2 linked regions of the Tribolium castaneum genome follow. The protein of the gene in region 2 binds, or shares a complex with, the protein of the main gene of each other region. Links are inferred from orthologs where the notes say so. Each region holds a gene or a part of one and is shown on either strand. Other genes may lie near its edges. The genes, in order: viaf and CCT4.

Region 1 (10,668 bases), on a different chromosome or scaffold from region 2:
ACTCAGTAAAAAACAGTAATTTATATATTTTATTTTTCCCATGTTTGACGTGAAAATTTTAGTCAAGTTTTCTCAATTTATCAAAAGTTTAGTGGTCAAAGTTCCTTTCCTTTTTCGAAGTAATTAACTAGTTTAATTTAAAATTAATTAAACAATTTGGTTCCGAGATGATCTAAACGCTACTTGATATCTCGTGCAAAAATGTTATTTGAAAATAAGTAATTCCTTCTTTTACAATGAAAATTGCCTTTTGTAGCAACTTCTAAATTCAAAATTTTCTATTTGTATTATGCAACCACAACATTACGTTGTTTTTACAAGATTATTTAACAATCTACATAATATTTCTCGGGAAATATTGTTTGGAATAGTTTGTTTTACAAAAGTCAAAGAATCTGTTCAGATTATAGTAGGTTTGGATTTTCGAGATCGAACTGTGTCTTTGAAGAAATCGAGGGAGGGATAATAAGTGGACACACATGATAAAAAAATGCACTATAAAATAAAACAACCACTCCACTACAAAATAAAAACACCTTAAATAAGACGAGCTTAATAACAATTCAAATAATGTGATACAAAAGAAAAGAGAACTAAGAGTTAGAAGAACTACTTTACCGCGTAAGAGTGGTAAATTGTCGAACAAACACCTTGAAAAACAGAATTGAAAAAATACAGACAAATGAACAAAACGAATAAACAAAACAACTAAACATAAATTAAAAGATGTGACCAAAAATTTGCAACTTGCCTCTAATACTAAAAAAATATACGAAACACAGGAAAGTAACATAAGATAAAAAGAACGTAAACAACAAAAGAAAATTTTGCTGTTGCGCCGCTGAAAACATAGTGGAAATGGATTTGGAAACTTCTATTGCACAAGAGTGATAAAATAAAAAAATCGTACCTGGCGAACTTTCCTCTCCCAAAGTGGGGCTCCTCACCCTCTTCTGAGGTTTGCGTACGCTTGGGGGCTTCTCAGGTTCAACAAACACATTGGGACTATCCAGATTATCATTTCTCGCCGGTTTGCAATTTTCGATATTCTCGATACAGTCGTAGTACGGCGTCTGTCCCTCTTTTGCACCTAATTGCTGTCCTTGAGTTATCACCAAGGGTTTCAACTGGGGCCTTTCTTTACGCGGAGTCTCCTCCAACCGCATTTTCAAGTGTAGTTGCCCCGGCAATGACACCAGTCTCAAAACAGCCCCTCTTTTTTTCCTCGAAAGCAACAAAAAATACGTAGCGGTGTGATAATCATATTTCCATTTTTTCAAGTGGCGCCACATTCTTTCCGGGTTTACGTTGTAATACGATGCCATAACGTCGACACAATCCTTGTCGTACTTTCTCAAATCAATTGAGGTGTAATCGACTGGGTCCAGGATACCCAACGTGAGCCAAGGGTGTGAGAGGAGCTCTTGCACGGTGATGCGTTTCTTGGGGTCCACTTGGAGCATGGAGGCGATGAGGCGCTTGCTTTCCGCGGACAGGAAAGGAGGCTCCGCGTATTTGCCACTCTGAAAATAAACATTTTTTTGACAGTGACACACACAAAAGCTTCCGTGTCAAAAATGTCACCATGTAAGTTTGCAAAATGCAACCGCCAGAATCGAGTAGTTCAGAAAGTGTTTACAGCACGATCTTGCAAAATCTCGCCGCAATTGAACCAATTTTACTGAAGGGAAACGGCCAAGTGACGCTTTTTGGCCTCAACAACCACTTTAGCCCCGCAATTCCAAGCCGATTAAGAATGAAAGTAGCGCCAGAAGAATACGCTTACACGATTTTTCTCATCAATAAGGTGCTAAGACGGAATTTCATCAACAATTTCGTTTGGTTTTTCTGCGGGTGCCTCACGTTTTGTTGCACGCTGGGCTGCTCAATGTGTCCGGTGGTTTATTTTAATAAGAGGACAATCAAGTCGTTACATAGAACATTAAAATCGGAAAATAACCGCTTGTATAATAAGCTGGGAATGCACTGGTCGTTGCACAAACAACACCTTGCGCCCTTTAATATAGTAGAATACGTGATAGTGATCAACTTCTTACCGAAACCAGAAATATATGTACCCGATTAAGATAATAAATAAACTCAACTCACCAGAATTTTTTTATACAAGCTATCGATGTTTATGTCATCAAAGGGCAAAGCCCCGACTAGGAGAGCATAGAGCAGGACCCCCATGGCCCAGACGTCCACTTCGGGCCCCAGATATTTCTTCCCCAAGACTAGCTCGGGGGCCGCGTAGGTTGGAGAGCCGCAAGACGTGTACAGGGGGCTCCCCATGCCCCCCTCAGGCCGGGCACATAAGCCAAAATCAATCAGCTTCAAGTTCTGGTCTTTATCGAGAAGGACGTTCTCCTGCAATTATTTTGTTACTTATATGTATTGAAAAGTTGTGAAAACACCTACTGGTTTAAGGTCCCTGTGTGCATACCCCAGACTGTGCAAATAAGCCACCCCTGACACAATTTGCCGGAAAAAAGTGCGGCTTTCCGATTCACTCAAGCGGTTTTTTTCGACAATGTGGTCAAACAGTTCGCCACCTGAGCAGTACTCAATAACTATGAAAAAGTGCGTTTCCGACTCAATCACCTAAAAAGCACAATTAGCAAGGCCTTTACGTTCTTTATGGTTGTTACTTGGTAGAGTTTGCAAATGTGTTGGTGTGAGAACGACTTTAAAGCCTTCAGTTCCAGTTTGACCCTTGGCAAGTCATCGCCAAGTCCCGTCTTGTTCATTATTTTAACTGCGACCTTTTCTCCGGTTGCTACATGAGTTGCGAGCTTAACTTTAGCAAATCCTCCACAGCCTATCGTCTTCTCAATCTCATACAAGCCTTTCAGTTCAGCGTAACGCACCATTTTGACTACTTGACAAACACTTGTTCTCCGACTACTTTATCACACAAAAACGGACAGTTGCACGATTTTTTGCTCAAATTACACACATATTTTTGTTAGAAATTTGCAAACATTAACGAATTTTCCGCATTTGAATTCGAATTGTTTTGACATCTGTCACTGGGCGGAGGACGCCGGTAGTCTGCGGTGGAAGTTGTGCTGGTTCGAATCACCAGTGGATCGAAAAGAAGTTTTAAGCCGAAAAGTTGGCCAAATCTTGTGTTTGATTTTTGGCTTTGGAGATTCTCTAATGTAAGGCACAATATCGCCTGTTTTTCTATTAAAAAATTATTTTTTGGGGTGCAAGTGTGGGAGTTTGAAACACTGGTAGATCAAAAAACTAATTTATTCAATACAGCAACAGCAATAAATAATAAAATTGTTACAAAATTCGTTAAGTAGATAAAGATGATTATTGCCGCATTACCAATCATTGGTACTAGCCAAATCTGCGAACATTTTATCTTTGATTTTCGGCTTTGGGTCTTCTTTAATACTGGTCTCAATAGCGCCTGTTTTTCCAATTAAAAATTCAAACTCTGGAAAAATAATAATTCAAATAATGTTTCACAACTAAATATTAATTTTCGTACCGTCTTGGGTCATATTTGGGCCCCTAAGTTCGACTGGACCCACAATTTGCGATTTTAATTCCCCTTCAAAGTACACAAAGAGAGTTGGTAAGTTTTTGTCGGGATAATTTGGTATACAAGTCGTTGAAATTGATTTCAGGAACTTAACAGCTGGGTATTTAGCTGCAAGTTGCTTCATATATTCATTAATTAGGGCACACAGCGGTATTCTGTAAAATAATTGTGTATTATTATAAAAACCACAACTTTTAGTCTTACCCTTGTTTGTATAAATGTAAAACAACCCAAATGCCTGTGCCAGCTTTATTAACTTCCTGCACATAATCTTGGGCTGAAATTTCACCTACTGAGCCAAATTTGGCTTTTTCAGCCAATGCTCTCATTTCAGCTATCCTCTTATTCCTGTATTCAAGAAGAACAGCTTCATCTTCAGAATCTTCCAACTCGTCTAGCTCATCAAGGTCTAGCTTTGAAAAATCTTTACCAGCTAAAAATGGACAAAAGTGAACAAAGTTTATTTTTGAATTTTAATGTGCAATCACTTGAGGTTTTTTGTTCAATTGTCTCTTCCAACATAGACACAATTTGATCCTCTGTTATCTCTGTTTCCTTCTTAGGAGGAATAATTCCCTTGCTTCTGAGAACATCGTTCCATTCAGTGTCCTCATTGGGGTCCTAAAATTATTAAGACCAGGAAAATAACACAAAAAAACCTCACATTAATGTACAAACCTGCATTTTGTTAAACTGTATGAGTCAAAAATATTAAAATTTTGAATTATTTACTGTTGAAGCTCTACATGTGACTACTTTACAAAAAAGGAAATTTGTGTAGTAGGCATGACACATCCGATGTTTTGCCGTCACGTAACATATTGTCATCTCGCTTTACCCCGAATGTTGGACGAAGATCGCAACAGTGACTCTCCCAGTTTGTTTTCGGAGTGGGGATAGTAGACAGCGCCAAATTTAAAACTTGTTCTCATTTTTATTTTTATTTAACATTAATTAGTGAAACCCAGCAACTGAATACTTCTTCAACAGTTTCTCCAAAACGGCTGGTAAAAGCGCCAAGAACTTGAACCGCTCGCCCATTTGGTTGCTTTCAGTCATCATTTTGTACCCAAATTCTAAACCCTCTATTTGGTCCGGTTTTGCATTTGCTTTAAGTGCCTTGAACCGATGCTCTATCCCCATTTTGAGCAAAAAGTCTCGCTGAGTAGTTGGCCCAAAAGTGATCACCCCTCCAGCTTCAGTGGCGCTTTTTGAAAGTGCGTCAAAATCTACATCAGCTGTGAGGTCTGCAGTGCCTGGTTCTACCAAAGGGTCGTGCAATTTGTGCTTTTTGAAGGCTCTGAATGTGTCAGTGCCGCTGCCATTGTGGCCGTAATCAGCAATCAGGGCTAAACCACCGTCTATTTCTAATCTCTCTGCAATTTGTTTGGCTAAAACTAGACTTTCAGGCGATATTTCAAAATGTTCGCGAGTCTCATTTGGTCTAATATAAAGTTTTGAAGCTGGAGTTTCCTCTCTGGCTATAACATACCTGGAAAGATATTTATACTATTACTTGTAGCAGTTTGAGTCAGCATAAAATACCTAAACGAACATTCTTTAGAAAGGTCTATATCTATTAAAATTTCCCTATAACCGTCTTTAGTCTTTTGGAACTTATGTACAGGCAAAGCGTCAAAAAATTCATGAGCTACCAATAACGTGAAACAATTCGGAACATCATCTAGTTGCCTGTACCACTTTACGGGAATCCCCTGATGACTTATCCCTTGCCTATGTATCACAGACTTTTTATCAATAATATTGTCCGACTGGATACACAGTTTCCTTGCTTGCAAATCACTCAAAAGAGGACTGACTTCAACCAAGTGCAAAGTGGCACTCTGTAGTGCGCCGAAATGGTCAAACACTCGCAACAAATCCTGACTTAAAGTGCCACGGCCTGGCCCTAATTCAACAATTTGAATTGGTTTAGGGGACCCCACTTTAGACCACTCATTCAAAAACCAAATGGCAACCATTTCTCCAAACATTTGATTGAGTTCTGGGGATGTAATAAAGTCCCCTGATTCACCAAACACGTCTTTGTGCATGTAATAGCCACCTAAAGGGTTTATTAACACTTCCTTCATGTATTCAGCGACTGTGATAGGGCCGGTGGCTTTGATTTTTGAGTAAATTTGCTTAGCCACTTGATGAGGGTCTTTGACGGACTCGTTACTCTTGACGGTGTAATACGACCGAAGGGTTTTTACAATACGGGTGCAACGTCGTATTTGAAACATTGTTCCTATTAATTATTTTTGAAATTTTGGAATAACCTCACTCTTGTCAGAGTGACAGTAGGTCTAGCGCTCCACCTTGTTAGATAATTGATTTTGTTTAAATAAAGAAGAAGATGTGAATATTTAAATTCTGTGACACGTATGATAACAGAAATTGTGCCCAACTAAAATAAAAAACTACCCAGTTAATCAAATTTTAAGTGAAATTTAGAGAAAATTAGGTCTAATGTCCAGTAGATAAATCCTTTGACAAGTCTAAATCGTATCATAACCACAGTTTTTCAGCGTGCCCCAGTTGTCACGTGTAATGTAATTTCTGGCGTTGTTTTTGTTTACAGGCGCCGGTTTTGGATAAAATAAAGGTAAGTCACTTCCCTAGGTTGTGTAAGTGTTCCCACATTTAAAGTTTTTGTTTCTAAAGATGAGCACCTCACTGAGCGAGCAACTCAAGCGCCTGGCTTTGCCCCAAACCTCGCTGTTACAAAGGGACAAGAAACGCCCATCTTTGCTCTTCGACCCTAAGGAAGCGGCTGGTTTGAAACGTGAGACCGTTTACCAAATCGGTCTTGACGGTTTAGAAGAATTGATCACGAAAAACCCAGTCTTTGAGCAGTTTAAAAGCAACATTTTTCACATAACTTCAAAAAAATTTGAGCGCGCGGTGCAATCCGCTGACGCAAACAAAAAGTTGGATAAAGTGATTAGGAAATTTCTGCTGCAATTGTCGCCTTATTTTTTGCTGAACTGTGCACATAAGGCGCTTGAATGGCTCATAAACAGATACAACATTCATGAATTTAACAGAGACGATTTGCTTATGCTTATAATGCCGTATCACGAGTCGAATATTTTCGTTAGAGTGGTGCAGTTGATGAAATTCAAGGATGAGAATGACAGTTGGTTCTTTTTGAAGTCGATTCAGAAAACTGGGGTTCATCTCACTAAACAAAGCCTACTAAACAAGGCATCAAGTGATGTTTATTTCCTAAAATTTGTGGCCAAATTCATCTCTCTGCTCGTGAAGCAATTTGAAAAACCCTCGTTACTCACCGTCGCTTTCAACTTTTATTGCACCGTTTTCGTGGGGGCTATTGAATATTCCTCCGAGTTAAATGAAGCTCAGATCACTCAGATGCTACCAGCGCTCCTCAAAGGCCTAAATTCGGACATTCCGGATTTTTGCGCCGCTTCGTACGTTATTCTGGGACGACTTGTAATGAAAACGCCGCTAACTGATGCAATTTTGGACAAATTCGTCGAAAAAGTATCCGTGTCGAAAGTTGAAACTTTGAAAACTGAATCAGTTTTGACTCTTTTGATTCTTTGCCAATCTCAGACTCATTACACTCAGTTACCGGAATCGGCTTGCTATAGTTTGATTGGGAAAAATTGGTTACCGAAAGTCTTGCAAGATTTGAGCAACGGAAATTGTTTCGTTACCCCATTTTTGAAGGTTTTGGTCAAGACGTGCTTGTATGGGGCTGTCAAACTGGACCTGGAGGAGTATCGCGCTTTTATGAAGACTCTTCTAGCGGCGATTAAATTCGACGACGCTTTCATGGAAATATTTTTAAGGTAATTACACAATTTTTGCGGTTTTCTGACAATTTCATTTTTTTTGTACAATTGTTCCCAACAGACCTAAAATAAATGAAACGAATTCGTCGCTTAACCGGCTTTGAACGTTTTTACACGTCCTTTACATTATTAAAGATAAAGAAATAGTCTCGGGAATTTTTTTGTATGAAATTTAATATTTTACAACTATTTTTCTTACATTTTTATTGTATCTTTCATAACGGTATAAAAATATTGGACGGAATACAAATATTTTTTTCTCATTTTTGTTGTGAAAATTAAATCAGTTTTTTGCATATTAACTAAATCAGTTTATTATCAGCCAAGTATGTATAATACCTCTTGGTACGTCACACTTATAGTAATAAGATAAAGACAAAAGAAAAGTTACCTACAATAAACAAACATTAAAATGCAAAATTTAAAGTTTAGGACACCAAAATATACATGAAAAGCATCAAAAAGCTATTTAAAAATTTTAATTTTTGAGATATTCTTCAATGGAATAGAAACATTGTTCTAGTAAATGTAAACATAAATTGTGGTGGAGATATTTGGAGGAAGGTTATAAAAAATTCTAATACCCGATACAAGGGGGCCCTTATCAGTGATTTTGAGGCGACGTGCTGGCAACACTAATTAGTAATATGTCTTGTATTAAAGCTATGTAGATTTAAATGTGTTGTTAAAAGGCCACGGTTTTTGTTAATACACCATGCAATTTCTAAGATGTATAGAAATGGTAATGGAAGGATTTAAAAATTTTAACTCGCCACACTAAATTTTTGTATCACATTTCGCCTCCGTAACTTTGACTCTTTTTTTGTAGTCTTCTTCTCGACCGTACCAAGACCAAGAAACCCTACTCGGAACACCTCCAAAAATGGCTAACGGAAATAATCGAAACGCTCGAACGCCAATACCCCGACCAATTCGATAAAGAAGTCTACAAAATCCTCTCGACAACGCAACAAGGCAAAGTGATCAAGCGACGAAAATCGCTTCAAAAAATCCTCACCGAAACAATGAACATTCGGTGCAAGTTCGACGTTTTGGCCAAGTTATATCACCCCAACGTCACATACCGAAAAGAAGCCATCAAATATCTTGTCAATAATTATGACTCTCTCCGCGACCGTGAAAAAGAAATGATCAAAAGCTCGTTCATTGATCGCCTGAACGACGACAGCGTGGAAGTCGTTCATGAAACACTAAACCTGATCAAAAATATATCTGTTCTGAAGACAGACGCGCTGAAGGACGTTTTGACCAAACTGGCCTACAAGTGCCAGAGCGATTTGAAGACTTGGGGGTCCGTCTCGACCGAAATTGTGCTCATGTTGTGCGAGCAAAGCGAGGCAAACGACTGGGAAACGTTCGTAGCCGTGCTTCCCTACTTATTACCAAACTCTGAAAATCAGTTAAGTGCAGCACAAACAATTGCCGAAAGTTCGTTCTGTCGTAAAAATTGCTTGCTGAAGAAGATTAACGCCAAAGGTGAGGATTGTGCCCAGTTTTGTAACAGCGTTTTTGACTCAATGCGGAACAACAACAAAGAACTGGTCAACGACTTTATCGCCTGTATTCACAAAACGACAGATCGTTCCGTACTCAGCAAATATCTGATAATTCTTATTCTGAGCATCATCCTACCTGAAAATAGCTCAATTGAGAGCAACATCACAATCGTCAAAATCTTTATCGAGTTTATCGAAAATTGTGAGATTAAATATGAAAAAGGGAACGCTTTTATGCAAAAACACATCAGTGTGGCTCGCGCCGGCCAGTTCCACATCGAAGGGTTTCTACTGTGTTTGAAAAACGTAATTGTGAAGACACTTAAACCCACGGTTGAGTTGGGCCGAGTTGACTTACATGAGGACACTGATTTTAATCAATACTTTACTTTACTTGCCACCACTTTACTCAAAAACAAGTCAAACCACAAAAAGTACGTCCACGTTTTTATTAACTACTTCTGCAAAACGTTCCGAAGCAAAATAGAGTTTTTATTAAACTTGGTCAACAGTGGGAAGAGCCAGGATTTAGAGTTCGTGACCGAAAGTGTGTCACTAATTGCGAAATTGCTGTCCAGTGTCAAGGACAGCAACGAAATGAGTTCGCTTCTCGAGAGTGATATTTTTATCCCCCAACTTCTGGCCTTGTTGTTACACAAATCGGAAGACGTCAAGCAAAAAAGTTTCCGAATTGTTGAAATCTTAACCGAAGTGAAGAACGATACTTTTGGCCACCTCTTTAGGGAGTTGTTGGACCAAAGGGAGGAGATTGTTGTTGACAATGACCAGTTGCCACTCATCATGTTTAACTACTTGTCACCTTCTGCAGTCAAAGACACGAAAGTTTCTGGCAATGCATCAACGCTTAAAACACTATTAATTAAAACAAGCTGTGGCAAATACCCGGTCTATCTGAAATCGAAAATGTTGGAGCTCCTATCCCACATTAACACGATCGAAATCTTCGAGGAAACGTCGCACGATTGCTTGCACTTGCTCAAAACCCAGAGCAAGAATTTGGACGAAGTCAAGTCATCGATAGTCGTCCGAAACTTGCAACGTTGCCAGCCCACAATCGCCGGAAATATCGCAGTGGGGACGTCCATCTGGACTTTGATTGAGACGTGTCTCAAAGACTCGGACTTCACTCTCACTGTTGACTCCAAACCGGAGTTTGCAACAGTATTACTTTTGAAGCAGTTCGATCGCGAGTTTTTCGCCCAACTGGACGCGAAAGTCGAGACGAAGCTCCTCGACTTGATCGTCGAAACGGCCACTCTGACCAAAAACCCGGACGTTCTGCCGGCCGTTCGGCACACGATCAAGGTGATAGAACTGGACGCGAAGCTAATTCTGAGCCATTTCGTCAAAATGCGAGACGTGCAGTCGCCCAAACTCGACCCCAACAAGCTAAAACGGCGGATCAGTGTTGTGCCCACTGTGGATATTTTGGACACTTTGGACTGGCGCAAGGGCCTGACGGCGCTCGAGTTTATCCAAGACAAGAAGAAACTGACCAATATTGAGGTCCTGTTCCCCGTGTTGTTCGAGATTTTGAAGAAGTGTCTCGATTTTGACGAACAGGCGGCCGTGGAGTACCCCAAGCAGTTGATCCTCTTGTCGATTCTCTACCTGGGGGAGAAAATCGATAGGGATAGTATAGGAGAGACTACGTTCAACATGGAGTTGATTGTTCAGTGTATCAGGGCGTCGCAAAACCCGCAGACCCACTATTGCGCCCTTTTGGTGCTGGCCTTTTCGGCGGAGT
Region 2 (12,063 bases):
TTCTCGGAAACTGTAAGACTTAGAGCAACGAACAAAAAAACATCTGATAGCGCTTAATTTTATCTATTTTTTCGACCAAACCCGGAGCCGCTCCGGGCAACGGTTCCGGCTACAGAGGCGATCAAAGTTTTTCACTAAAAAAATTCATAAAAATAAAACTAAAATTCGTAGAGCAATGCGGTTTGTTCGGTTGAATTCTGCGGCTCATTTTACATAATATATCAATTTTTCACAAGAATTAAAAATTTAAAAATTTTTGCCTAAATTTAGGGTAGCCATTTGTCATAGTGAAAAATTTTATTCATTAACAAAATTCATAACTCGAAAACTAAAAGTCGTAGAGCAATGCGGTTTGTTCCATTGAATTCAGCGGCTCATTTTCTGTATTATACCAACTTTTCACGAGATTTAAAATTTTCAATTTTTTTGCTAAAATTTCCTGGGTAATACTTACCTTCAAAGAGGTGAAAAAAAAATTTTTTTTAAACTCACTCCAGTAAATTTTTATGGACTTCTACATGTCTTAACAACCCAAAAAAGTTGTTTTTAGTCCACAAAAAGTCCATATGTTCGATTTTTAGAAGTTTGATTTTTCAATTTTCGTCGCAGTTTTTGTCGATTTTGGGTACCCGGAACTTTTGTCAAGCAATAGCTCCGGAACTATCAGAGATAACCCCATGAAGTGTATTATCGTTGGAAAGCTCTTTAAATTATCTATCTTTTTCAAAAAAAAATATTGTTCTCCGACTAATAGTTTTCGAGCAAATTGGAGACAAATGCAAAAATTGGGAAAATTTTTAAAAATTCATAACTAAAAAACCATTGGGAATTTGGCAATTTTCTCGATGCCAATCGATTCCCCGGATCATTTTGCATAGGATTTTACGTTCTCCAACTTTGTTTTAAAAAAAAAAGAAAATTGCAGATAAAAGCAAAATTAGACTCAAGAATTTGAGTATGACATGATGTGGAGACAACCTCCACATCTTCCACCTTGAAAACATATTCTAACATCTGTCTTTGGTGCTCTACTCTGCATGTCGAGTCACATGCCACTGCAATTTTTGGAATTCCAAATTCTTTTACTCTATCCTTCAGCTTCAGGAGAGCATCGTATGTTCTCGGAAATGAACCAGTTGCCTTCTCCATCTCTTCAGCAGCTATTACAAACATATAGCTAGCTATCTTCTGGAGTTTCGCTCACTGCGTTGAGTCCCAGCGCAACTGTTGGCTTAATGGTTACTACCATGGCATTTATAGGGTTCTCTCCTTTTAGCACATTTTGTCTGTACCGTGGGCACCGCTGACTAAGTAATCGCAGCAGTGCCCCCTCCTCTTTTTGCTCCCTCGATCTAATAATCACCGGAGCAACTTCCTCTACTTGTGCAAAGGGGCTAATTGCCATTACCTTTACTTTCTCGTAGTGAGAATCTTCCCACTTACAGTCCATCAGGGTTCTAAAATCGCTGAATATCCTTGTCTTCTTTCGAAGAGGTCCGGAAGGAGACTCAGATAAATCTGTCGGAGTGGCGGCTTGTAATCCTGAAGTCACCATTTCCATAGCCCCAAAACACTTTGTTTATATTTTTATTGATTTATCTCCGTTCATCTTCTCATTGTTTTATTTTTGGCGGTCCTTTTAAATAAAACACAAATACAACATAACGTTTATTCAAGAAATCCTTTTAATTAACATATTGTTTGGAAAATATGCTACCCATATTTCTAATACCAAACAAATATTGAATCCAAAATTTTTGTAACACTGTAAAGAAAGAAAGGAATTATGTGTTAAACTAAATAAAGGGCTAAAAAACCCCACCAAAACTTTCAATTTTTGCTCCATGTCACTACAAAAAAAATCAAATGCGCTTTTGCAAAATTCTAAGAACTGCTGAAATGGGATATAAATTTTAAAATATCCGCCATACTTAAAACTTTCTGGTACCCATGGCTGCCAATCCCTCTTATCATCTGCTGTTTTGAATGTCACTTTTTGACACGTTGATGTGGTATTTTCCTCTTTTTCGTCGCTTATTTTTTCTTTAATATGTGAAAATGGCAAGTGTTGATGACGACAACGGATGGTAAGTTTTCAAGCATAATAAAGTTGCCTCAATTTTTTGTTGTTGTAAAACGAAACCAAGTCTCGCCTGTGCAGTGTCATTTATTTACTTTAGTTATTATTTTATTATAGGGTGGCTGATTTAGAAAGCGCTTTACTGGAAGAATGTTCAGTTGCTGATATTTACTGTATTTGCAAAGGCAAACCTTTACCTGACAATTTACGAGCTGAAGTCTGGCAGGTTAGCAACATACCAATCATTTTGCTCGTCATAAATAATGTGTCGTATTTTTTTTAGATATGTCTCGACGTAAGAGACAAGGGGAACCAACTCGATCACTTTAACGAAATCTATGATTTGCCTAATCAATCTGTGCTACGAGAAGACTGTCGAAATTTCGTTTCAAAACTCGGCAATGACGAAGAGGATAAATTATCCGTTGTATCCGATTTAGAATCGATTTTAACATTTTATTGCAAAAGTCGCAACTTGACTTATATTAAAAACAACGGCTGGATTGAGCTTCTGCTCCCTTTGCTAACACTGAAAGTGAATCGTTCAACCACTTACAACCTGTTTGAGGCAATTAGAGACACTTACGTGCCTCAAAATTGTCACACAAATGACGGCAACGCTTTCCATATTTTGCGTCTTTTATTGCTCTATCACGATCCAGAATTGTGTTCATTTCTTGACACTAAACGTATCACACCTGATAAATATTGTCTGACATGGTTCCAGTCACTTTTCGCAGCCACTTGTAATTTACAAGTCGTCATAAACATGTGGGACTATTATTTTCAACAGTCTGACCCGTTTTTCATTTTTTTCCTCTCGTTAATCATGGTAATAAACGCACGCGAGCAAATCATTTCAATGAAAAGCGAATCTCGAGATGTAATTATTTCGAATTTGACGAACATGCCGTGTGCTCTTGAGGCTGAAGACGTTGGTGATTTTTGTTCCTTGGCCCAATATTATGCCCTTAAAACACCCGTTAGTTTTCGGACCGATTTAATGCAAAACTTGTATAATGGCACAAATGATGCTGTAGTCTCTCAAGCGTTATGTCTCCCAGTTTCCGTAAGCGAACTAGTTGAAAATACGTCCAATGAGAGTGGAAATATAGACGCTGTAAGATTTTTCCTAGTTGATTGTCGACCTGTGGAACAGTACAATGCCGGTCATTTACCTACAGCTTTTCACTTGGACTGTAACTTAATGCTTCAAGAACCAAGTGCTTTTAATACTGCTGTTCAAGGCTTACTTTCGGCGCAAAAACAAGCTCTGGCACATAATTCTACAGCAGGTGGTGAACATTTGTGTTTTTTGGGATCAGGTCGTAACGAAGAAGATCAATACACTCATATGGTTGTGGCTTCTTTCCTACAGAAGCACACTCAATACGTTTCACTTCTAACAGGAGGTTATTGTGCTCTTCATCATTACTTTTCGGATGATTTAGAGTTTTTACAAGATCATAATCCCAAACTTTGCATTGTGTGTGGCCCAATGCAACAACAACAACAACAACAGCAAGGTCAAGTCAAGGGACAATCGACCGATTTGTTTGGGAAAATTTCAGCAGCAATGAAATCGAAATCGGCCGAAGTTAAAGAAAAACTTATCGATTATATCGTTAATCCCAACAATAGTCCCGTGCAAGAGAGACATGTTAGCAGTAGCGACAAAATCGGGAAAAGGTACCGAAATGTGGCACCTGTTTTTAGTATAGATGATGATCATGAAAATGCTACCACCAATAACATGGAAGATGCAACTAATGAAGAATGTCGCGAATTGGTACAAATACAATCATGGTTGAAACATCCCGAAGTTATTGAACATTTTCCGTGTCAGGAGGTGAAAATCAATGGTTTTATGTACAAAAGTCACTTGATTGTGACTAACAGTGAGCTTATAGTACTTAGAGAAATGCCCGATAGGAAAGGTGGCATTGCTGAAGTTATTGTAAAACGCCCCCTGTCGGCGATTGTTAAAATAACAGCGAGGAAACGTCATCCTGAACTTATCACTTTCAAGTATGGCGTGCCAGATGGTGAGAATTTAATTATATCTGACATGGATCGATTTCTTATACCCAATGCCGATAAAGCTACAAAAGTTGTATCTGAACAGATTTTAAAGCAGTTGAAGAATAAGGAGTAATTTGGAAATTTAAATAGAGTTACACATATTTATTGTTACTGTAGATATTTTATTATAGGAAAAAAAACTTTAACCATTTGTTTATTCTTATCTAAATAAAACAATGCTTAAACGAATCCACAATATTGTTATTTTTGTAATAATACTAATTTTGTTACAAATGATCGTACTTAACAAAAAAATTAAATGAAGCAATTTAGAAAAGATCTATGTCATCGTGTTCACCTGGAAAAGACAAAACATTGTTTAAAATTTTGTACTTATGGTAGGTAGGACTATACTGGGCACATTATCCAGTTAAAAAAAAATAAACAAAATAGCCTTTTTTACAATTAACAGATTCGTTTCATTTTACCGGTGGTCAAGTAACAAGTTTTATATTTTTTTATTTATTAAAGCCCTCAACTTCGTTTCGGTCTTCAATATTAAAACTTCACGCTATAAAATTATTATACAATTATTATTACTTTTCTTTAAAATCTTATTTCAAATTTTGCGTCAGTATAGTTCAACCTTAAAAAAAACAACTTACAATATCATCAATTTTCAAAATTGATCGGACCGTTTCGGTAGCAAACGTTATCGCACTGACGCTGACCAACAACGGTTGTACCACATTCTCCTCTAAAATATCCGAAATCGAGCCCTTTCTCACATTAATCCCTGCTGAAATTTCTCCTTTCGCATGTCTATTCCTCAATTCTGTCACCGTTTGAATTGGATTCAAACCAGCATTTTCGGCCAACGTAAACGGAATAATCTCCAAAGCATTTGCAAAAGCTCTCAAACAGATCGCATCAATACCCTCTTTTGTATCAGCCAAAGCAGCCAGTTTCAAGGCCAATTCAATCTCAGGTGCACCACCACCTGCTACAATTGCTCCTTTTCGTACCAAACAACGAATCACACACAATGCATCATGTAAAGATCTTTCCGCCTCTTCAAGGACTAATTTATTCGAGCCTCGAACCAAAAGTGTCACTGTTTTACCGGCATTTTGAGCACCGGTAATCTTCACCATACGATTGCCGCCAACACCGATCTCTTCAACCAAATCGGCTGAAACGAGATTTTCGGCGGTAAAGTGATCGAGAGATGCGATAGGACGACAACCGAGTGATTTACACACAAATTCAACGTCTTCACGTTCAATGTCTTTGACGACCATACATTTGATTTTATCGAGAAAATGAAGAGCGAGATCAGAGACGGCATCGCGAAGAATTGATTTCTGGATCTAAAAACAAAACAACAGGTAACTATCTATAATGACGCCTATTAAGACACAAGTACGAAAATTACAAGCCGTAGGCGAGAGTCGTATAGCCTACAGGTATATTAATAGCCATTAAAGTTGCATACACTACTTTTTTTATGATTCGATGGGTTAAAGTACAAAAAAAAATTTTTTAATGTCGAATTATTTTTTAAATGTCAAACGCACAAAGGCAGTCAAATATCTAATTGCTACCATTTACGGTCACAAGTTGTCCTCGTGATCGTTACACTATATTCTCGTTGGTAACAAACATTTAAGCAATAAATAAATTAAAGTATGAGAGTAGAAAAAAAATTTTAATTACCAAAAGGACATTACATCCAGCCTTCTTGATCTGCTTGACAATATTCAAAATATAAGTCCTCTCTTCCTTAAGAACTCTATCCATAGCAGCATAATCAGAAACAACAACATTATGATCCATATCGGTTTTAGGTGCAGAAATACAAAACTGAATAAATCCAATTTTGGCTTTCTCTATACGTTTCGGGCCATTGACATTTGCAACTTTTTGAGGAAAAACAACACCATCTATTAATTCGGTATCTTCAACAGTGCCCCCAATTTGCTTAATGACTTTAATATCTGACAAAGAAACGACTTGTTCACGCCCTGAAATTAAATAATAATTATTTTACACATAACTAATTTTTCTCCAAACAAACCTGGTTCTACGACCTTTAAAACCGCATCAACAGCCAAAGGAGCCAACAGACTTGATTGTTGTGAAACAACCTTTGAATTCAATGATGTTGACGCACTTTTAACCATTTGTTCGCGATTATCTAATTGAATCGGCTTAGAAATGCTTGTTAAAACCTGAAAATTGCATATAAAATAATTATAGCGTGGTATGAAATATAAATAAAACTTACATCGACGGCGTGTTTGGCGGCTCGTTGAAATGATTCAGAAATTGCAGTTGGGTGAATCCCCCGTGTTAATAATTTTTCAGCAGCATCGAGTAAAGCCCCCGCTACTACAACAACAGTAGTGGTACCATCGCCAGCTTCAACATCCTGAGCACGTGACAGCTCAACTAACTAAAATAATAATAAATTTTTTCAAATAATGATTTTACGTTTTTACCATTTTTGCAGCTGGATGTATGACATTCATTTGTTTCAAAATCGTAGCCCCATCGTTGGTGATGGTGACTTCACCATTGCTCGCCTGAATCTAAATTAAAACAATCATTAGAAAAATTATTAATCATTGAGTACCTATATACCATTTTATCCATGCCTCTTGGCCCCAAACTCGTACGAATGGCATCGCATACAGCTGTCAAAAAAATGTACGATATTATATAAACGTAGCGAAATGAGTCGATAAAACCGGCTTGAAACATTGTAAGTTCATGTAATAATTATAAAAACGATTACACGAAGGAAAATTTAGAAGTATTTTTTTAAAAAAACTATGTTTACCTTTTGCGGCATTGATATTGCTGAGACGGACATCGCTCGGCTTACTTTTGTCTTTGTAAACCACACCTCGCGCTTTATTTCCATCACCCATTGATGCTTGAATCGTCATTTTTCACGAATTATATGAAAACACGTTACTATTAATTGTAACTTAACGGATGATTGTAGATATTTGTCGACACAAACTTATTTTTCAACACACAAAAATGACAGTTCCATTAACTTTGACATCGATGAGAAGATAGCACCAAAAATGGTGCTGGCACCATGAACATTACAGTGGACCAGACAATCGCTGTGTGCATAGAGCTAACACTATTTCCCACCATTCTCGTTTTCTACAGCCAAGTTCACACCAAGAAAATTATCAGAATAATCGTAAATCATTATAAAAACATCAATAAGCTGTTACACTGACTTGCATATCACATTTCTAGAACATTTCCTGACCATTCTAATGTGTATCTATTACAAATTAAAACTTAACTGCATTTAATTTCTGCATTTTTTATTCTCATATTCATGAAATGCAAACTGATTTTTTTTCACACTCTTTATATCCCGCAATTTTCTTTATTTTTGCAGGAATTTAAGCCCACTGATAGGGCCTTTAACTGTAAAAAAATCATGTTTGGGCAAACACCCCTTGAGACCTTAACGAATTTTTTTAATTTTTATAAAGTTACTCTATTTTGCAAATTTTTTTTTCACCCACTTTATACCTTGCAATTATCTTTATTTTTGCAAGAGATTAAGCCCTTCGATAGGGCCTTTGACTGTAAAACAACCATGTTTAGACAAACAGCCCTTGAGGCCTTAATGAATTTATAAAGATTCTTTAAAATTTTCCGATTTTGCAAACTATATTTTTTTTAATCAACTTTATATCCTGAAATCCTGAAAGCCATCTAATAAGGCCTTCGACTGTAAAAAAATCGATTTTGCAAACTGCGTTAAAAAAATTTGTATTTAAGAATTGCTCTTATTAGTCAAATTAATAATTAATTTGTCCAGCAAGAACCACGTAGAGGTTTAGAGCATTCTTGCCAGGAGAAAAGGGAATAAGGATGAGGTAAACAATGATTATTGGAAAATAAAGGGAATAAAGGAATTATTGGTTCGTGAAATAAAAAAATACAACACAAAGATAAAATGCACTTACCTTTATGGCTTCTGCGTTGGCTACTGTTTGTAGCAAAACAATAAAAAGAAATTAAAAATAACACCATTAAAAAATCTTTATTTGCATGAAAGTAACATAAATAAATTTTGAGAAAGCGACTTTCATCGATTAAAATTAATGTCAAAATCAGTACGCGACAATAAATTATTTGAGTGTTTTATTTTATTTATAGTTACTGTATTTAAAACGTGTCACTCAAACTATAACTTTTCAACACCGCATTTAGAGCCGGTGTACACATTTTAATTGCAATTAAATTTTACGGAATTATTGGTTTGTGAAATAAAAAAACAACAACACAAAAATAAATGGTCAGGAGATGTTCTACAAATGTGATATGCAAGCCAGCGTAACAGCTTATTAATGTTTTTAAAATGATTTACGATTATTTTGATAATTTGCCTGGTGTGAACTTGGCTGTAGAAAACGAGAATGTTGGGGCAATGTTGCTAGCACCATGCGCGCAGCGATTGTCTGGTCGACTGTAATGTTCATGGTGCCAGCACCATTTTTTGGTGCTGTCTTCACCGACATGTAACTTTGGACCTTTGGACAGTTGACTGGTGAGTTGGTGTTTAAAGTTACGAGAAGAAATTTTTTGGAAATTTGAATAATAATAATTAAAAAAAAAATTCAAATGGTGGTAAAGATGTAGACATATTTGTATGTATCAAAGTATGTGCATTATTATTATTATCGTAGGTTTAATCAATAATCAATCACACATTTTGAATGTGTGACATAACCTAAACATTTTCCAAGAATGAGTTATCAAGAGATAAAAAATAAAATGGCTCGTAAAATGGTATTTACTCAACAATTGGCTCAACAACTAATACAATTGTAATAAGTCGTAAATTCTGTGAATATGTCGACGTTTTCGTGGATCGAATTGTTCCCTACAAAACTGAGTTTTGTAATTTTCTTAGCTTATATATTGTTGTTTGTAGGGCAAGGTAACTATCAATGTTATATTTCCGGTTTAACGCTTTTTTTCTTTATAGGAATATTAGTAACAGCCTCTCAAAAAGCAGACAATCAGTATGATTATAACATAATTACGGTAGTTCTACTAACTGAAGTTCTTAAATTGATTGTGTCAACATTGTTGTACTGTAAAGAGTAAGTTTTTCACTTTCAAGTAAAATAATTTTAACAATTTCGAGTTGTAGCAATTCTCCAAAGTCGCTAGTCAACAATATAGTAGAAAATAGGAAAGTATTAGGGCTTTATTTTGTACCTGCACTCTTGTATTGTTTCTACAATAACCTTGCTTTCGTTAACTTATCAGTATTTGACCCCACAACTTATTACTTACTATTGCAATTGAGAGTTGTAGTCACTGGAATACTATTTCAAGTCATTTTTAGTAAAACTTTAAGCAAGAAGCAATGGCTTTCATTGTTAATTTTAACATTTGGATGCATGTTAAAACAGATTAATTTCACCAATCAAGAGAAAAAATCATTTATTTCGTTCGATATCGTTGGTTTAAATGGCATTTTCATTCTTTTGCAAATTTTTTGTTCATGTCTTGCGGGAGTCTATAACGAATATCTTTTAAAAAAACAAGGAGCTGATGTGAATATTTTCATTCAAAATGTTTTCATGTACTTGGATTCGATTGTTTGTAACGTGGTTTTATTAAGCGTACGAGTCTCTTTATCATCCGCGTTCACTTACGAAAACATTAGCAAAGTATTCCATTACAAAGTATTACTAGTAATGTTTAATAATGCCGCAATTGGTATTGTCACTAGTTTTTTCCTCAAAACTTTAAATTCCATTTTAAAAACTTTCGCCAGTGCCTTAGAGCTGGTTCTGACGGCTATCTTGAGTTATTTATTTTTTAGGATTGCCATTCATTTAAACACGGTTCTTGCTATTGGTGCTGTCATGTATGCCGTCTATTTATATTCCCAGAATCCAGTCTCATCAAAGGCCAGTAGTCGACAAAGCGATCAAATCGCTCTTATTAAAAGTGAACAAGTTTAATGTGATTTTATTTTTTTTATTTCTACACAATTGACTGCTGAAAATTGGTGTGTGATTTATTTCATTTTTAATGTAATCAAGTTTAATAAATTGTTAAAGCCGAACGACGTTTTTATCATCCCTGACGCACAAAAAAATTATTTTGAACAGTCAATTTTAATTCGTATTATATACAGAGGATGGCCTAAGTAATAACAATAATAGTATAAGTAACAATCTCAATGAATGAAAACTATGTAATGTCCCCCCTCTACACATAGACCTAAAACGTTCTTTATTGCGTTTCTTCCTTCCTGGCAATAAATACAGGGTCGCCAACATTAATAAATCCAGTTTTTGCAACTTCTAAATTCGTTCCGAATCTTGGTCCATGATCAGGTCCTGAATGTTTGCGATATCTGTAAAACAAACAATTTTGTTGGTTGCTTGATTATTTTTCTACTAACGTTTCCAAAGTTTTCAACGGTTGCCTATTTATATCCCTGATTCCGTTTTCAGACGAAATGGTTGTAAAGACACACCTAGTACAGTCTTTAACATTTCTCAAAATAACATTATCGCCGACTTTGATCCAATCCCAATTGTCTTCATCATAAGGTTGCAAATCAGGTCCATCAACAATAATGTTGTGTCTGAAATTTTCAACAGTAACATTGGAATTGTTACCAACTCGTTTATTCAAATCGTGAACTGAATGTTGATTGATGAGAGTAACACTCGACAAGTCTGCAAACAGGCCCTGAAATAATGTACGAATTAATAATAAATACAATATTTTAATTTGATTTGCACAAACAGTTGAATGGTTGCTTAAGTTCTTGTAGTAGTTGAGGAGTTTGTGGTGGGTTTTTGTAATATCGCGTCGATGACTGGCATCGTTGTAACCTAGTCTTAGACCAAAATCTCGCTCAATTATGTATCGGGAAAACCAGCCAGCTGCCTCATCTCCACAATCAATTGCTTCAATATGTTCGTTGTTCCAACACTTGACTTTAGCAACGGCGTTGTCTTTTCGGTTGGGTATTTTAACGTAGAGTGTCCTCATAGTGGGAGCATCTATGGCAAGGTGATCCTCATCGTGGACCGAAACATCAATGAGGACCATTTTTGGGTAGGTCCGAGCAGTGCGAAATTCATGGTCCTTAGCTCCATAAACTACCAAAACCCTAAAAAAACATTATATAATGATGGAATTTTTCGCTACCATGTTGGATTTGTTATACCTGTCTCTTAACTGAAAGATCTTTTCGTCCTCTTTAGTTTGTCTAAGTCCAACTTCTGTTACTTCAGCCCTTTGTAATTCGACTCTGTGTCCACTTTTAAGTGGATACAAGTGAAGTTTTTTCACGCTTCCTATGCGTTCCCAATTCGAAGGTATTTTGACCTGTTTCCATTTTTGATACAAGTAGGAACCAACGACAGTAACAGCAGTCACAAGACTTGTAAAAAGGACGGTTTGTGTCACACTGTTGAGACCCATTTTCAGACACTAAAAATTTATTGTGTGGAATTAAGCTTTAATTTTCTTATCATAATTGGTTGTAAATTAATATAGTCAGACGGTTATAGTCAACAAACGTTCCGTGATTTATTTAGATATTAAAGTTGCGTCATTTCGTTTGTTGAATGAAATTTTTTGATAAATTGCGGAAAAAACGCACACCCCAATTATATTCGTGTAATTACCATTATTATTTACTTACAAAAGTGTCATCAAATAACAATTAGGGAATTACTAGAGCACACAATGTCGTGCGACTTCGACGGGGGTCAAATTAATCATAAAAACTTGTACAAATACAAAAATTATCTTGAATTATATGATAAGCTACGAGATAAAATGGTGACCAATTGTGAACTTTCTGTGTATAAATAAATATTTTCTTAATTCTTACCGTTTCAAGTCGTTTCAACGCGAGAAAACTTAAACATGTGATAATG

What was found.
Region 1: the proteins of CCT4 (region 2) and viaf are in contact, whole or in part, in a cryo-EM structure (PDB 8I9Q), measured with the Homo sapiens proteins. The link is inferred for Tribolium castaneum from reciprocal best matches to the Homo sapiens genes CCT4 and PDCL3. Residues at the interface, in NP_006421.2 of Homo sapiens: Val266, Gln271, Met272, Leu276, Glu279, Arg280, Leu312, His315; in NP_076970.1 of Homo sapiens: Ala70, Ile71, Tyr74, Arg75, Arg78, Leu79, Trp82, Lys86.

Annotation. Positions count from the first base shown.
Region 1 is NC_087394.1:28,837,971-28,848,638, forward strand, and holds viaf (viral IAP-associated factor homolog), read right to left. Parts: upstream 4,388-10,668; 5' UTR 4,244-4,387; coding exon 4,238-4,243; intron 4,181-4,237; coding exon 4,048-4,180; intron 3,993-4,047; coding exon 3,764-3,992; intron 3,715-3,763; coding exon 3,506-3,714; intron 3,452-3,505; coding exon 3,336-3,451; 3' UTR 3,243-3,335; downstream 1-3,242. Other genes in the region: maternal embryonic leucine zipper kinase, read right to left, coding at 911-1,523, 2,110-2,370, 2,422-2,604, 2,652-2,873; protein arginine methyltransferase NDUFAF7 homolog, mitochondrial, read right to left, coding at 4,514-5,051, 5,105-5,805; l(2)k09022 (HEAT repeat-containing protein 1 homolog), read left to right, coding at 6,227-7,380, 8,213-10,668. UniProt on the Homo sapiens protein: Acts as a chaperone for the angiogenic VEGF receptor KDR/VEGFR2, increasing its abundance by inhibiting its ubiquitination and degradation.
Region 2 is NC_087402.1:70,939-83,001, forward strand, and holds CCT4 (T-complex protein 1 subunit delta), read right to left. Parts: upstream 7,184-12,063; 5' UTR 7,054-7,183; coding exon 6,945-7,053; intron 6,799-6,944; coding exon 6,746-6,798; intron 6,694-6,745; coding exon 6,604-6,693; intron 6,558-6,603; coding exon 6,390-6,557; intron 6,334-6,389; coding exon 6,180-6,333; intron 6,127-6,179; coding exon 5,819-6,126; intron 5,473-5,818; coding exon 4,768-5,472; intron 4,461-4,767; coding exon 4,443-4,460; 3' UTR 4,264-4,442; downstream 1-4,263. Other genes in the region: TBC1D23 (TBC1 domain family member 23), read left to right, coding at 2,059-2,087, 2,198-2,306, 2,364-4,235; UDP-galactose transporter senju, read left to right, coding at 8,996-9,083, 9,132-9,249, 9,300-10,122; Marc (mitochondrial amidoxime reducing component 2), read right to left, coding at 10,397-10,520, 10,569-10,861, 10,919-11,288, 11,346-11,602. UniProt on the Homo sapiens protein: Component of the chaperonin-containing T-complex (TRiC), a molecular chaperone complex that assists the folding of actin, tubulin and other proteins upon ATP hydrolysis.